Linked DNA regions of Tamandua tetradactyla. The protein of the gene in region 1 interacts with the protein of each later gene in a pairwise test. Links are inferred from orthologs where the notes say so. Each region holds a gene or a part of one and is shown on either strand. Other genes may lie near its edges. The genes, in order: ADARB1 and PRKRA.

Region 1 (8,904 bases):
GCTTTTCTGGTCACTCGATAAATGGGCCAGAGTAGCACACCCAAATGAGGAATATGTTGTCACCAAAATCCAAAGAGACCAAGTAGGCGTTGTGCCTCTTTTTTGGTTGTAGGAGGGGCCAGATGCAGCAACTTATCCTTCACCTTAGAAGGGATATCTCGACATGCCCCACACCACTGGACACCTAGAAATTTCACTGAGTTAGAAGGCCCCTGCATTTTTGTTGGATTTATCTCCCATCCCCTGATAACATTAATACCTTACCAGTAAGTCTAGAGTACTTGCTATTCTCACTCACTAGGTCCAATCAGCATGATATCATCAATATAAGGGACCACTGTGATGTCTTGTGGGAGGGAGAAATGATCAAGGTCCCTGTTGACAAGATTATGACATAGGGCTGGAGAGTTGATACACCCCTGAGGTAGGACAGTGAAAGTATATTGCTGACTTTGCCAGCTGAAAGCAAACTGTTTCTGGTGGTCCTTACTAACAGCTATTGAGAAAAAAGCATTTGCCTGATCAATAGCTGCATACCAGGTACCAGGCGACATGTTGATTTGCTCAAGCAATGATATCCCATCTGGAACAGCAGCTGGAATTGGAGTTGTCACCTGGTTGAGCTTATGATAATCCACTGTCATCCTCCAAGACCCATTTGACACAGGCCAAATAGGAGAATTGAATGGGGATGTGGTGGGAATCACCACCCCTGCATCCTTCAAGTCCTTAAGAGTGGCAGTAATCTCTGCAATCCTTTCAGGAATCCAGCCTTGCTTCTTCTTTTTTTTTTTTTCTAATTTTTAAATTAATTTTAAATAAAAAAAATGACAACAAAGAAGCACAAACATTCATAATATATAATCATTCTGTTCTACATATATAATCAGTAATTCACAATATCATCACATAGTTGCATATTCATCAACGTGATCATTTCTTAGAACATTTGCACCAATTCAGAAAAAGACAATGGAAAAAGAAATAAAATGAAAACAGAAAAAAAAATTATACATACCATACCGCTTACCCTTCCCTTTCATTGATCACTAGCATTTCAAATTAAGTTTATTTTAACATTTGTTCCCCCTATTATTTATTTTTATTCCATATGTCTACTTGTTTGTTGACAAGGTAGATAAAAGGAGCATCAGACACAAGGTTTTCACAATCACACAGTCACATTGTGAAAGCTATATCATTATTCAATCATCATCAAGAAACATGGCTACTGGAACACAGCTCTACATTTTCAGGCAGTTCCCTCCAGCCTCTCTGTTATGCCTTAACTAAAAATGTGATAACTATTTAATGCCTAAGAATAACCTCCAGGATAACCTCTTGACTGTTTGAAATCTCTCAGCCCTCTACATGGGACATGACTCCCAGGAGTGTTATTTTTTGCTGGCGTCTAGGCATTTAATTACCTTAATTAGTCTATTCTGGAGATTGCTTTCACTTCTTTTATCTAGGGTTTTCCTGCTGGATGAATTTGTTCTCTATCTGTTGTTTGACATTCAGTTCAGCTTTTTCTGGACCTCTAGCTTAGGTTTTGTTTAACAGAGGAGAATTTTTCAGTTCTTGTTTTCTTGTTTCTTGCCCTGCTTGTGTGGTGCCTTCCCCACACACACACACTTAGGAGGGTCTACTTAGATATTATAGACCCCAGCCAGATTTTCCCAGACCAAACTGGCCTCCTATCAGGAGGTATGAGTCACCTGCATCGGTTTTCCTGAGGGTGAGACCCAGCAGGTTGAAAGACCTTCCTGTGAAGTCTCTGTGTTTTTCTTATCCTGCCCAATGTGAGGTGCTTGTCTGCCTGCAGGTCCCACCAGCATAAGATGATGCGGTACCTTTAACTTCAACAGACTCTCCCTGCTGGGGGCGTGGTGGAGACAGAGGAGAGGTTGTAGGCTGGTTTTAATGACTTCAAATTGCCAAGCCCTGGGGTCTGAGTTCCTTGAGGGAAGGATTCCACCTGGGTGGGGCTTTACCCCTCCCCTGGGGAAGGCACAGGCTCCAGACGAGCCCTCAAACGAGCTTGTTTCTGCCTATGCCTGGGGCAGTTGCAGCCTGAGAAGTCCTGCCAGTGTATCCAGAGGCAGTCAAGCCTTTGTAGAAACACAGCCACAAAACCTCTGTTTCCTTTTTTTTCCTTTTTCCATCAGCCCTGCCCCCTTGGCCAGGGCAAAAATGAGCGACCCCCGCTTTGACCAGGTTCACCTGAGCTGGGGGCCTATTTTTAGTAGTCAGAATTTGTGAATTAATTCCACAATTGGCATTTGGTAGTGCTCAGTCCCTGCTGCTGGTAAAGTTCCTTTCCTTTCCCCTCTGGGAAGCAGCCTGTGGGGGAGGGGCACTGGCCACCACGGCCTGGGAACACACGGTTCTAGGGGGGCTCGCAGCTGGTCCAGACTGGGATACGCTGTGTGTCCAGGCACTGATGTGGCCCTAGGAGCTGTTTTTTTTACTGTTTCTGGTTATTTAGTAGTTGTTCTGGAGGACAAACTAAAATGCGCACCTTGCTAAGCCGCCATCTTGGCCCAGAAGCTCCCAATATTGCTTCTGATTTCTATTTTCCTATAAAGGGCAGTTCTAGTGGCTTCCACTTGGCCTTTCCCACCATATTAGCCCTCACTCCATGACTTAGAGAGCCAATGTGGGGATTCTGCTAGTTACTTAGTATGTTTATTCCAGTTATGCATTCTGGAACTGGGGAAATAACTACTGAATGGGTCCAGGGGCCAACTGGACCCACGTGAGATGAACTCCATCGATCACCTGGCCTCCATAAGCCCCCACTCTGATGGGTGGACCAGAGTGACGTTTTGGGTCCCCTGGAATTAATGTCACTTCTTAATCAGTGTCTAATAATCCCCGAAATATCTGATCATTTCCTTTTCCCCAATGCACAGTTGCCCTGGTAAAAGGTCATCGGTCTCCTTGGGGAAGGCTTGGAGGAAGATTAACAGTATAAATTTGTGGCAGTGTAACAGGGTTCTCCCCCAAAGGGACCTGGCCTCCCCTTTTGTGCTGGCTTGAAATGATATATGGACCCTAGAAAAGCCATGTTTTAATCCTAATCCCATTTTGTAAAGGCAGCCATTTCTTCTAATCCCCATTCAGCATTGTATGTTTGAAACTGTAATTAGATCATCTCCCTGGACATGTGATATAATCAAGAATGGTTGTTAAGATGAATTAGGTGATGACATGTCTCCACCCATTTGGGTAGGTCTTGATTAGTTTCTGAAGTCCTATAAAAGAGGAAACATTTTGGAGAATGGGAGAGATTCAGAGAGAGCAGAGCAGAACGACATAGCCATGAGAAGCAGAGTCCACCAGCCAGCGACCTTTGGAGATGAAGAAGGAAAAGGCCTCCCAGGGAGCTTCATGAAACAGGAAGCCAGGAGAAGAAGCTAGCAGACTCTGCCATGTTCGCCATGTGCCCTTCCAGATGAGAGAGGAAGTGTGACTGTGTTTGCCATGTACCTTCTCACTCGAGAGAGAAACCCTGAACTTCATCAGCCTTGTTGAACCAAGGTATCTTTCCCTGGATGCTTTAGATTGGACATTTCTATAGACTTGTAATTGGGACATTTTCTCGGCCTTAGAACTGTAAACTAGCAACTTATTAAATTCCCCTTTTTAAAAGCCATCCTGTTTCTGATATATTGCATTCTGGCAGCTAGCAAACTAGAACACCATTTATCTGACAAAGGACTGATACATAGAATATGTAAAAAACTCAAAATTCAAAAGTATAAAAATAATCATGTTTGTTCAAGGGGCTCTGGGTCTGTAAACTGTTTCAAGTCTGGAAATTGATTAAGGGGCCGTGACTCTGTGTTTTTGTAATTCAGGTTAGACTTCTGTTCACTTGACCTAGAACTCTTTTGTTTATACAGCTTGAACAAGAATTTAGTAGACTGCCCTTCTATTGTATTTCTAGGTACCCCATGATTTACTAGCCAATGCCACAAATCGCTGTGAGTCATAATTTTAACTCCTGCTTTGAGTTTGTTGTCTATTATAATAACCACATCCACCCTGTCTTTGGCGATTAAGTGCTGCCACCTGGCTTCTGCCAACTCGGGATCCTGTCATCCCTATTGTGTTTAAGGATTCCAGCTCAGTGACAGCAGTTCCCACAGTAATATCTGACCTACAGAGAAGTGCAACCACAGAGCTCTTCAGTGAGGATGGCGTTAGTCTCACAAATTTATTTTTCGCTGTTCTGGTAAAAGGTTCATCCTCCGGACATTCCTGGGGTGTAAGAGCAGTGTTTGCATGATAAATCCACTCTAACATTCCAGTCTCTCTAAGCCTCTGGATCCCCTCATCTACATTGTACCAGGGCAGTTCTGGCTTTTCAACCTCAAGTAATGTTGGCCACCTTTTGATCCATGTTTCAACCAACCATCCAAACAAACTGTTAATACCTTTTCTAACCACTTGAGCTATAACATCGAATGCAGAATCTCTGCTTAGTGGGCCCATATCAATAAATTCAGCCTGATCCACCCTTATATTCCTCCCACCATTATCCCACACTCTTAAAATCCATTGCCACACATATTCCCCTGATTTCTGTCTATATAAATTGGAAAACTCACACAGTTCTTTGGGAGTATAATGTACCTCCTCATGTGTGATACTTTGTACCTCACCTTTAGGGGCCTGTTGGGACTTTAGTCTAGTTATAGGTCTGGAGGAAATGAGGGGTGGTGGGGGTGGGTCATGAAAAGAATTAGAAATATCTTCCAAGCCATTTGCTTCAGGGCCTTCATTTGCAGTTTCATCTGGTGAAACAGGATTAATCACTCTAGGGCTAATCCCTTCAGCAGGAGGTTGGGTGGCTGTTCTAGTTTGCTAGCTGCCAGAATGCAACACACCAGAGATGGATTGGCTTTTAAATAAAAGGGGATTTATTTTGTTAATTCTTCAGAGGAAAGGCAGCTAACTTTCCACTGAGTTTCTTTCTTACGTGGGAAGGCACAGGATGGTCTCTGCTGGCCTTCTCTCCAGGCCTCTGGGTTCCAACAGCTTTCCCCGGGGTGATTTCTTTCTGCATCTCCAAAGGCCTGGCCTGAGCTGCAAGGACTGAGATGAGGAATGCTGAGCTGCTTGGGCTGTGTGTTGAGCTCTCATTTAAGCACCAGCCAATTAAGTCAAACTTCATTCATTGCAGCAGACACGCCTCCTAGCCAACTGCAGATGTAATCAGCAACAGATGCGCTTCACATGCCATTGGCTCATGTCCACAGCAACAGAACTAGGTGCCTTCACCTGGCCAAGCTGACAACTGACTACCACAGTGGCCAACTCTTCAAGGCAGGCAGGAGGTGGGGTGGCTATGTCCTCAGGGCAGACTATTAGACTATTACAGGGTTATCTAGAGAAGACTTGGCATGACCGAGGGTTTCAACCTTGCCACCGACATCATTATCAGTTCATATGTCACCATCCTATTTTTCAGGGTCCCACTCCTTTCCAATCAGTGCCCTCAGTTTAACAGCAGGTACCATGCTAGATTGAGATTTCAGTTTATATTGTAAAGTTGCTACTCTAACAATAAGATTCTGAGTCTGATTTTTGGAGATCTCAAGTCTACAGCTACAGGAAATAAGATTTTCCTTCAGGACATTCATAGAAGTGTGTACAGCTGTCAGATGGCACATAAGCTTCTCATTTGAAGTCTTAAGCCCACCCCTTTCACTCATTAACGTACCCGGTATATCTAGCGACAACTCTATGCCTCTTATTTCCACAAAGCTCCGTAAAGCTGTCAAAAACATTATCCCCCAGAGCCTGGCTTCATGCAGGCAAAGCCTTAGAAGAATCAAATGGTGATGTTTTGACTATCTCTTTTGCCAACTCACTCCATGGACTGAATGTCATTCTGATTATGGGAATCAGAGGCCTTAGTGCCTCTGAGCCCAGTCAGAGTAGAAAACCAATCGTAAAAACCCCTTTTTAGGATTCTATTCCTTAAGACCCCACTCCTGTATCAAGTTGTATTAGTTAGGGTTCTCTAGAGAAACAGAATCAACAGAAAATATTCGTAAATATTTCGTAAAAGTATCTCACGTGACCATGGGAATGCAGAGTCCAAAATCCACAGGGCAGGTTGTGAAGCCGACAACTCCAATGGAGGGTCTGGACAAACTCCACAGGAGAGGCTCACCAGCCGAAGCAGGAAGAGAGCCTGTCTCTTATGAATCCTCCTTAAAAGGCTTCCAGTGATTAGATTGAGCATCCCTCATTGCAGAAGACACCCCCCTTGGCCGATTACAAATGGAATCAGCTGTGGATGCAACCAACGTGATCATGATTTAATTCTATGAAATGTCCTCATCTCAACAGACAGGCAGGCACTTGCCCAACCAGACAAACAGGTACCACCACCTTGGTCAAGCTGACACATGAGGCTGACCATGACATCACATTATGATGTTATCATGCCTGATAATTTTTTGTTGGCACTGGGAATTTGACCTTGTTGGGTGATGGGTAGATATGGAATTCTTAGAAATGGTCTTGAGCTTAGCTCTGGGGCAACACAGCCGAGTTGCCTTGAACAGGTTTGTCCTTTCAGGTTATGTTTTAACCCTCGGTTAGGACACAGGTGTGAGCTCTGTGAGGTGTGTGTATTCCCACGCCTTCATGCTCCTATGAGGTTATGAGAGAACAGGCACTGTCCCCGGCCCTGTGTGAGCCCCAGGGGCTGCCCATGTGTCTTTCCAGCTGCGGATCCCTTCCTCAAACCTTCGGCGTTCTAACTGGTGCTCAGCTGAGCACCTGAGGCCCTGTGACTTCTGGGTTCCCTCTCCTTTGGCCTCTGTGGCCTGCGAACCGCAGATGCTTCCTGTGCTCCTGTTTCCATCTCAACTCGTGCACGTTCCCAGCTTCAGTGGGCGTGGCCCCCCCAGTCGTGGCCCCCCAGCCTCTGTGAGGTGACACCCCCCAGCCATGGCCCCGAGCCTCTGCTCAGAGACCTTCCCTCCCTGGCTGTGGCCTGGGAATAGGACTCGTCTCCCTTTTCATCTTGGCACTCGCATCCTCAGCTGCCGAGTTCCCTGCCGGCTCTCTGCCTCGGGAGGGAAGGTGAGGTCAGGCTCTCGTGCCACCTGGTGGAGGTGTCAGCACACCTGCTCGGACTTCAGTCATTGTTCTGTAATTAATCTTTATCTTCAGATCTGAAATTCTAGTCCCCGTGCAGTGTAGGTGGAAACGTTAGAAGTAGCAGTCGTATCAAACTGAAGACTGAATTTGTTTTTGGACAGTGAGGGTGAGGATTTTGCAGGTCCTCTCACGCACAGAGGCCAAAGTGCCACAGCTCGGGGGCTCGAGTGGGGAAGGCAGGTCTCAAGGCACTGCCTTCTGTTCAATAAGTGAGAGCCCAACTGCCCTCCTTGGCTGCCTTTTCCCGCCAGGCTAAAGCTGCCTCTGGCCATGAGGACCGCAAGGGAAGGCTGCACCACGGACTGGCCGTCACCCTTCCCTGCACGGAGCTCTGCAGGGGCTGAACCCCTTGACTTCTGCACCCGGGTGCCTCGTCAGAAAAGGATGTGCCAGTCCTAAGTGGTTGCATCCAGTGCAGTGGAAGGAAGGAAAATTGCAAGCGTTTAAAATCAAGTCAAAATTGTTTTACTTGTCATGAGTCCTGGAAAGGGCCGAAACGTCTTCCCTGAAGGTGGTGGAGACTGCTGGAGCGTGCCTCGTGTGTTATTCCTGCAGTCAGCCGGGTTCCCGCTCCCATGGGCGTGTTGAGCGCTGCCTCTGCACTGGGCCGTGCTGGCGTGGGCCCCAGACGGCCATCACCAGCAAGTGGACATGGTTTTAGGTTTAACCATTTCGCTTCAATTTCACGCAGACCTGTTTTTTAGCTTTACCCATGAGAAAGCTGAGACCAAGGAAGAATAAGAGACGCCACAACCCTTGTGCAGAGATGCTGCAGCGTAGCTTGGAAAACCATGTTTCAGAAGCAAGCTAGTTTATGTCCAGCAGCCTCCTGCTGGCTGCGGAGCTCGGTCCCTGCAGCTCGGGCTCCCTCACCTGCCGAGGGGGAGTAAGAACAGCACCTGCCCCCCGGGGAGGATGCGGGTGGCGATAATCACGATAGTAGTAATTAATCATCCTTGGTTCGCACTAGGAGAGGCGCGGCGTGTCAGCTCAAGGCTCGGGGGTTGCTGTCTGCTCCCCGGTCTTCATGCCCATCCCACCTCCTTCAAGAAGCTGCTTTCACTCTTCCTCAGACGGGTTTTGCTGTTCCCGGAGTGATGTCTGCACCTGTCTTCGGCACCAGGCAGTTTAGCACGTGACTAACAGGTGTCTCTCCAGGCCAGTTGCGCCCGGAGCTCCAGGAAGCGCTGAACCTTGGGGCTTGCAGTGGCTGTTCAGAATCCACGTTAGTTTTTAGGTTTTTAAGGAAGGGCTGTGTTAAAGCGCCTGTGTCAGCTTTGGGGAATGCATTGGACCTGGAACAGCCCAAATAGTTTCTAAAAGAAGTAAAAGGCTGGAGGGCTTATCCTGCCTGATTTCAAAACTTAGAAAGCTACAGCGTTGGTGTAAGACGTGACACGTCAGTGCGTGGGACAGAACTGGGAGCAGAAATAGACGCCAGGCTGCGGCCAGTTGGCTGTCTTCAGCAGCGCCAACGTGGGAAGGGTCACTTTTTAAATAAATGGCACTGAAATAGTTGGGTGTTTGTATGTTAGAAAAATGACCTTGATCCTCACTTACTAAAGTGTGCAAAAATTAATTTGAAATGGACACAGACGTGAACATAAACATTTCCGGAAGAAATCACAGGTAAAAATTTTAGGCAAAAATGTTAAATGGGATACAAATAGCACAAAAAAAAAAAAAAAAAGAAAGAAAATAGTTCATTTAGATTTCATG
Region 2 (8,199 bases), on another chromosome or scaffold:
ACTAAAATAAATGAATTAATAAAATAATTAAAATTATTGAGAAGATAACATGCAAGGATTTTTTTTAAGATAAAACATTTCCTACAATTCTATAAAAAAAAAAAAAAGCTGTCCAAGCAAAGAATTACCTTACATGCTGTGAATTAAACTGTTCACAGCAGAGCTCTAAGTGGTCCAGGTGGGACTCATGATCTATATTAGAGAACTACCTCAACACCTCTTCCTCACTTTGGTATTGGAGCCAACAGCATTAGTGCTTCCAAATTTGTAATCTCTCTGGAATAGAAGTCTTTTTTTCTTTCAGCTGCAGCTCTTGGAAACCAACTGCATTTAAGTGCTACAGCTGATGTTTTTCAATTTCCCTACCTTTTATCCCAAAGCCCCATAGCCTTCAGCATCTTTCCAAAGCAATCAATAAATTATTTTCAATGAAATGACTCTGTTTGTGTCCAAGAAATGATCCAATATTAATCAATTTGTTGGGCAGTTGAACACAAGTACTGAACAGAACCTTAATTTGCAAAGACTTGAAAAAATCATCAATGAACTCTATCTTTCTAATGCTGGTTTTAATAAAAACCAATCAAATCATTACTAAGTGTCACTGGATGACAATGGTAAACAATATAAATGGGCTGAAAGTTACACACAAATAATTTTCTAAGCTTTTGTTAAAGGTTTTAACGTTGAACAAGAGTTGTTTGGCCATTGAAATATTATTTTAGAAAAATAACTTTAATATAAAAATACAATTTCATCTTTTAAAATGTCAGTGCAGAAACTCCATTACTTAAAAATAAAATCAAAGATTTAAACACTCAATGGTTATTCTTAAAACAACATTTAAATAGTAAAAGGAGGGCTCCAGTATGCATCTTATTTCACAAGGATAGCTGTTTGGGTTGCATTATGTTACACATGTTTAGACTTCATGTTTTCTTGAATTTTTTTCATATTCTGACACAAAACCATTACTATGCAACATCCTATACAACTGCAGCATTTGACAAAATACATGCAGTATAAGCGCCTTTAGAAATTGAGTATTTTAATTTAAATCCCCACTGCAACTTCTTAGCGAGGCCTAAATAGTGTAGTTTACCCGCATTGCTTCCCCACGAATTCCAGCATGCACAGAGAGAGAGCACTGCCTTGTGGTGCGAATGCTTTCCATGACCACACATAATACAGCCTTTCTGCAACTCCGTGACTGACGTATTAAGCTGTGGTCAAAATTAATTTTTCTAAAATAAAGAAGAGACATATTCACAAGAAGCTGTAACATGTAATTATGTAGAATCAAGTACATTTTATGCTGTCATGTGTTACTCACTCATGGTCCAACATAACCAAAAGTAAAGCAAGGCAGGCTTAAATCAGAAAGCATGCCCAAAAGAAATTTCATAATCTGCCTTTCTTTCTATCTTCTTAAAACATATTTATTATAGGAGTCCACTGGAGGGGAACCTCTTAGTATATTGGTGACAGGCAGATTCCTATATTCTTTCAATCTAATAATTTAGCCAAATGTGAAAGAGCTGAAGCGATTTTGTGGAACAATTAAAAATGCTGTAAGCAAATTATTTTGGATACTGCCCCTTATTCAAAGTTTGGAGGTACTACTAATTTGTGTGTTTCAAACAAATTATACTAGTAAAATATGTGTATTTTATATATTTTATAATGCTTTATTTAGTTTATATGGTTAAAATATTTAATGAAAACATTCAAGTATATTCAGAATTATTAAACCTACCGTGTAGAAATCTCCTTGAGTAATGTCGGTACTTCCACTTCATGTTTGGTTACTATACCAAATGAAGCTTTTACTGCAACTGAATCTGATCCAGTAACATTAATCCCAACATCATTCACGATATGGTTGCCTCGTCTTCCATGAAGTGAAACATCTGATTCATCCTCATAATTCAGTAACTGATAAGAAGAAATACCTTGAAGAAAAAGAAATTAGTATATTAATGTCTTGAATTCATTCACTGTAAATTATAGATAGTAAAAGGTTAACTTACAATTCAAGACTCAATTACCCAAAGGTTAACAAGAAAGGGAACATTTCAAACCAAGATTAAAAATAGCCATTTGATGAATTTGACATAGAAAGAGCCAGACTCCTTCAGAAGAACCTGCATTCTCTTTTCAGTCAACAGAACTTCTAAAGCATCAAGATCCGCTAGGTGGTTGAAGAAAAACACAAGCGTTTATAAGAAATAAGTTGTCAAAATGTCAACTTCCAGTTATTTTCTGATCTAGCCTGTAAAATATTTTTTCAGTTTACCAGTTCTAATAACTAAATTGTGAAAAGTAAATGCAAGTTACTTACATCTCCAGTATCTCATTTGACCATGTGAGGTAAGTAGACCAAGTAATACGTTGTACAGATAAAGAAATATATCATATTCTATAATGATTTGGTTACAGCAACTTACAAAGTAATCGATAGTTTTGAAAGTTATTCAACCATTCGAGATTTGATAGTATATAAATTCCAGGCATTGTTAATTTTAACACTACTACTGTTGTAATAAAAGTTGCTTTATCACTGACAATGTGTATTACTGATATAGGTAGTATATATGCCTATATTTAGGTTACCAAGGATACAGCTGATAGTTACTACCAAGCAGACATTTAAACTTACCAGCAGAAATTTCTCTGTCTCCTAGGAGAATATCTTTCAGGGTAAATGGCGTTGAAGAAAATTTATATCTAGGAAACAGAAAGCATCGCTTCTTTTTTACCACCAGACTGAGCGGTTGGTACTTGTCAGCTTCACTGAGGCTTGGAACAGGAACTAATCTCCCTCCATCTCCAACTTGTTTGACAAAGCTCCTAGTAGCAGCAGCAAACATATTAATATGATATCAAAGTGTCATCCACTGCAACCCCCAGATAACAAATCCATAGTCTCAAAGTGAATCAGCCTTGCTTGATTTTAAATATAATTATATACTTCAAAAATGTAAAACATGGTTTTCGCCAAGTAGTTTACCAGCGTACAATTCACAACACTGCTGCCCCTGGTGTGCTCAAGTAATGAATTATAGATCGATGGTGTAAAATGATATACTAAAAGCAAGTCTAATTTGTAATGCCAATCTAATGCACTACAATATACATGGAAAACTAATATTACCTAAATATTACCAAAGTTCTTGATCAGGGTCATGACCAGGTAGCAGTCAGAATCCCAATTTTGTGGGAAACATATAGCCCTAAAGGAAATAACGCAGAGGTACCAACATTAGCCTTGGATACCATTTACAGTAGACATAGTCAGAAGGGAATTCCTAGGTCCACCATGCCAGTTCTGGCAACAGAAAAGCACTGCTTTGAATTCTTATAGTATACCCTTCAGTGTTTCAGCATTTCATTCATTTTCCTTCTTGAATGCTTAAACGAGGTATTTCATATTAAATATAAATTCACAGAAAACAGGGGAACAATTGTATGTGACTCTTTCAAAATACTAAATTAAAACCATGTTACATATAAATAACTACATAAACTTATTATGTACGGTTTTTGACTCTGAAGTGGGGCACATAGACTACATCTCTTTGAAATGGGGTCCTGCTGCATTTATTTTCTTTCTATTTCTTCATTATTCCAGTCACTCAACCTTCAAGAGAGCTACATGAGGTTTGGGTTTTTAAAGGAATTTTGTCACTAAAAATAAATTTTAGAAACAAATCTGAGTGTTGAAATACTGTATTGCCATAGTTCTCATGTGGACGTTAATATATCCTGAAATAGTGGCTATGTGTTGGTTATAAGATATTTACTAAATGATAACTTTGGTGGATTGATTGATACACATACATAATGGGGTAAGAGAAAGAGAATAGGCTTACTTAGAGCCTCTAGTAACGGAAATAAATTTGGCTAGATTCTGGACATTTTTTCATTTGCTTTCAAGTGTCCAAGGGCTCGCAGGATCTAAAAAAATGAGCTGATTTCAATAATGTCCCTTCTCGAGAAGAGCTTTGTGCAAAGCCTTTTCCAAGACACAGAGTAAGCACAGGAATAATTTCTGCCCGTTAATTTCTACCCCGAGGGAAACGAGACATCTAATGTCGTTGTCTAACCCCCACCAAGGGTGTTGTATCCGAGGAAAACACCACTAGACCAATAACTCAGCTCTGCAGAAACAGCGATTAATTTGGAATCGAGTCTACAGAAAAGCATGCGTTTACACCTAACATGGCTGGCTGGGTCCGCCGGTCCAGGAGGGTACAACTCAGAGTCGTGAATAAAGCCAAGAGACAATGGAGCCAGCCCGGCGGGAGAGAAGGGGTCTCAAGACATCCCGCGTGCCCCTAAAAGCAGGGCTCCAGGGCCCGGAGCGCCCACTGCCGTCCTGTAGTCTCGAGCATCCGGCCCAGTCCCGGGCTGCAGCACCACCAATTTTGTATTCGGGATTTTGAAATATTTTTCTTCAAGTGACCAGCCCCCAATCACGCAATAAAAAAAATTATAATAAAATTTAAAAAGTGTGTGCTTCAGGCCTCCCTGACCACTGGCTGGCTCCTGACAAGCTTTCCCTCCGGGCAGGAAACTACTTCCTTTTTAGGACAAAGAACTGCGAGCTCCCGAGCTCCCAGGCAGGGCTAAATCCAGCGGAGCCGGGCTCCGGGTAAGCGGCGCCTGACCGAGGAGTGCAGAGGGGAAAGGGCAGTGGCGAGAGAGGCCCCGGTTGAGGAGGAGGCGGGGCCTGGAAGGGAGAGGCAGGGCCGGAAGCCGAGAAAAGCCGCGAGCCGGTGGGCGGGGACGTGGGCGGGGCCGGGAGCCGGGACCGCTGTGCCGAGGCTCCTCCTCCGCCCCTTCGCCCGCCCCCATCGCAACAGGGACGCAAGCAGGGAGGGGTGGGGGAGTCGGAGGAGGGGAGGCGGCCGCGACAGTGGCGCTGAAGCCCTCCTCTCGGGATCCGCCGGCCCGAGAAGCGAGGACGTCGCTCCGCACTGCTCTCCCTCCCACGGCGAACCGTCTGTTTTAGCCATGTCCCAGAGCAGACATCGCGCCGCGGCCCCGCCGCTGGAGCGCGAGGACAGCGGGACCTTCAGGTCAGCGTCCGGGCAGCCGGGCCGAGCCGGGCAGGGCGGGAGGATCGGGGAGGAGAGGCGGGGGCGAGGGAGCCGGCTCTCCAGCAGCATTGTGGGTAAAGCCCTTTCCTGGCGTTGCCGCCCCCGCGGCTGCAGGCGGGCTGCCCGGCTGCCGGGCGGTGCGCGGATCCTCGGTCCCGCCCTCTTGGCGGCGCCTGGGCCGGGGTTTTCGGCCCTGGTCCCGCCTCTCCCTGGCGGCGCCTGGGATGGACTAAGGTGGTGCGAGGCCACCGATTGTCAGAAATCGCAGGCTCTTTGGGAAGAGATTGTGGGCTTGGTCCTGAGCAGGTGCGGCGCCGGCATCGGCTGTGTCCCCCAGAGAACCCCTCTTACCCCCAATCAGGTTGTCTCCCCAAAGACCTCCCTCAGCCTGCCCGCCTCTGCCGGGTACCCGCAGCAGCTGCGGCGTCTCACCTGTCACCGCTGTGGCGGTCAAAACTATCCTCTGTATGCTTTTGCTTCCGTCGCCTCATTGGCATTCAAAGCACACGTTTTTCTGGTTTTTGCAGTTTAGGAAAGATGATCACAGCTAAACCAGGGAAAACACCAATCCAGGTATTACACGAATACGGCATGAAGACCAAGAACATCCCGGTTTATGAATGCGAAAGATCCGATGTGCAAATACACGTGCCCACTTTCACCTTCAGAGTAACCGTGGGTGACATAACCTGTACAGGTGTGTATACAGTTAACCCCGATGACCATGTGGGTTGGTGATCACGTCTTGGTATTGCTTTTCAGTTCGAAAAGGCGCTCTGTTTTCCTAGAAACTGCTATGGGGATGATGTATTTTTGAAACAGACTTCTCATCCCTGCATATTGGGACATTTTAACTTCATCTCCCTAGTTTCCTCTTCCCTGGGTATCAGGAGAAGCTTGGAAACTGATAATACTTATCCAAGGTTCCTCTCATATCTTAAAATATCCTGAATTTTAGGGACTGGGGAGAAGTAGGGAAGTTTCTTGAAATAGCCATAGCTGGACTAGTAGGTACTGTCACTGTTATTATATGCAGTCTGAAAGATTACAGCAGATGTCAGGAGACATGACCCCGGAATTTTCTGAGCCTCTCCCCATTTTTTCTTGACTCTTTAGGCACTTTGGGCCCATTGTACCACATCTGATTTCTATCTGTAAGCAAAAGGAAGGGCAGAAGGCTTCACAACGCTGTATTGTACAGCAACTTCTAATTCCTGAAACTGTACTGATATTTTATATGACATGATTATACCCTTTTTATATATGAAGAAATAGGTTGAGAGATTATACATAATGTGTCCAGACTCACACGGCAAAGAAGTTACAAAGTTCAGACTCACGTCTTTTAATGCTCTGGGAATTTGAGCAGATGATAACTGAAGTTGTCCATCTGTAAAGTGGGCTTTTTAAAAAATTATCATATATCAATATTTAATTGCAAACACAAAACATATTGTATGCTACACGTAATTTTGGAAAATGCCAAGAAAAAATTCAGTAAGAAGATTGATGCCCTCTGGTAATCTGAAGGCATCATTTGTATCATTGGAATTCTGGAATCTGCTATTTTCATTGAAGCCACTCTAAGAAAAAGTGAAGCTTTTTTTGTCTCTGTGAGGCAGGTGGATTGTAGGTGTTGACTGGAAGATTCCTCACGTGAACCTTGCATTACTTTTTCACATGGTCTATTTTAAAATATTCAGTGAAAATTCAAGTGGAAGTAGCCTTTATCCTGCTCACTGTGTTTTAGAATGGGGATTGACAACCCACAGCAACCATTCTGCCCTATGCCCTCTTCCCTTCTCATACCACCTTCTCCTCTTCTACAAGCTCATCTGCCTCCACAGCTTCAGTACTAAGTACTGGTAATTCTGAAATCTCTCCTTTCCCCCCAGACTCAATTAGAGCATGGTGTACCAGCCTGTGCTATGCTGGGTATCTTTGTTGGATAACCCAAAGGTACCTCAAATATTCATTGTCCCAAAGTGAACACAACTCCCTCAAATGTGTCCCCCTGCATTCTCTATTCAATAAAGGTACTGCTATCAACCTGTTGCTCACACAAGGGAAATTTGGGTTTCTTTTTGACTCCTCCTCCCCACCCCTCTCTTGTCTATACTATCACCAAATCCTGCCTCCTAAATACCTCTTGGATCTGTCTGCTTTTCTCCTCTTCCCATTACTGTTGTCCAGGCCTCTGTCATCTCTCACCTGGATAATAGCTATAGTATCATAGATACCCTTTCAGTTTCTAGTCTTGTGGTGTCCGGTTCATTCTCCGCTCTACAACCAGAGTGTTCTTTCTAGCATCCAGGTCTGCTGATGTAGTTCCTCTGCTTAAAATCTATTCACTGGTTTCCCCATCACCCTCTGGATAAATACAAATTTCTTAACATGACTTACAGCCTTGCTTCTCCGGGTATGGTAATAGTAGCATTAACCATCACCTGGGAGCTTGATGGAAATGTAGAATATCAGGCCCCATCCCAGATCTACTGGATTAGAATATGTGTTTTAGCAAAATTACAAGCCCTTGCCTATGCATATTAAAATCTGAGAAACCCAAATTTGTGAGACTCTTCTTTAACCTCTTCCCCTGCTCCCCAACTCTCCAGCCTTATATCTCAAAATTCCCTCCCACAAGCTTTTACACTTTAGCCAACCAGGTGGGGCTCCTGAGAACACCCTGTGTGTGTTGGCTTTGAGCCTTTGTGCCCTTTTTTCTACCTAGAATGCTCTTCGTAACCCCCCAGCTCTCTTCACCTTACAGATTTTTACTAATCTTTCAGGTCTCCATTTGGTTATCTCTTCCTCCATGAATTTTTTCTCAATCCTCCCAAAAGTAGGGGAGCTTCCCCTCTTGTGTGCTCAGCTACAACATGTGCTTAGGTCGGTCCTAACCCTTACCATTCCATGTTTCAGATGTCTATTGACAGATGAAATCCCACACTAAACTGTATGCTCTGTGAGGGAAGAGACTCTTTTGTTCACTGCTGTCTCCCTAATACTATATTGGTAGGTAAATGAATATGCTTTGTATGTCCTCTGATATATAAGGGTCACGCTTAAAACCTCTTCCATGCCCCTTTCTTCTTTC

The links.
Region 2: the proteins of ADARB1 (region 1) and PRKRA interact in binary tests that used the Homo sapiens proteins (3 or more experiments, as listed by UniProt). The link is inferred for Tamandua tetradactyla from reciprocal best matches to the Homo sapiens genes ADARB1 and PRKRA.

Annotation. Positions count from the first base shown.
Region 1 is NC_135336.1:107,393,694-107,402,597, forward strand, and holds the start of ADARB1 (double-stranded RNA-specific editase 1), read left to right. Parts: upstream 1-5,385; 5' UTR 5,386-6,972; coding exon 6,973-7,107; intron 7,108-8,904. UniProt on the Homo sapiens protein: Catalyzes the hydrolytic deamination of adenosine to inosine in double-stranded RNA (dsRNA) referred to as A-to-I RNA editing.
Region 2 is NC_135329.1:150,949,776-150,957,974, reverse strand, and holds the start of PRKRA (interferon-inducible double-stranded RNA-dependent protein kinase activator A), read left to right. Parts: upstream 1-4,782; 5' UTR 4,783-5,016; coding exon 5,017-5,081; intron 5,082-5,216; exon of another isoform or gene 5,217-5,408; intron 5,409-5,534; coding exon of another isoform or gene 5,535-5,599; exon of another isoform or gene 5,600-5,608; intron 5,609-5,629; coding exon 5,630-5,799; intron 5,800-8,199. Other genes in the region: PJVK (pejvakin), read right to left, coding at 1-1, 1,103-1,244, 1,757-1,952, 2,660-2,850, 5,535-5,599. UniProt on the Homo sapiens protein: Activates EIF2AK2/PKR in the absence of double-stranded RNA (dsRNA), leading to phosphorylation of EIF2S1/EFI2-alpha and inhibition of translation and induction of apoptosis.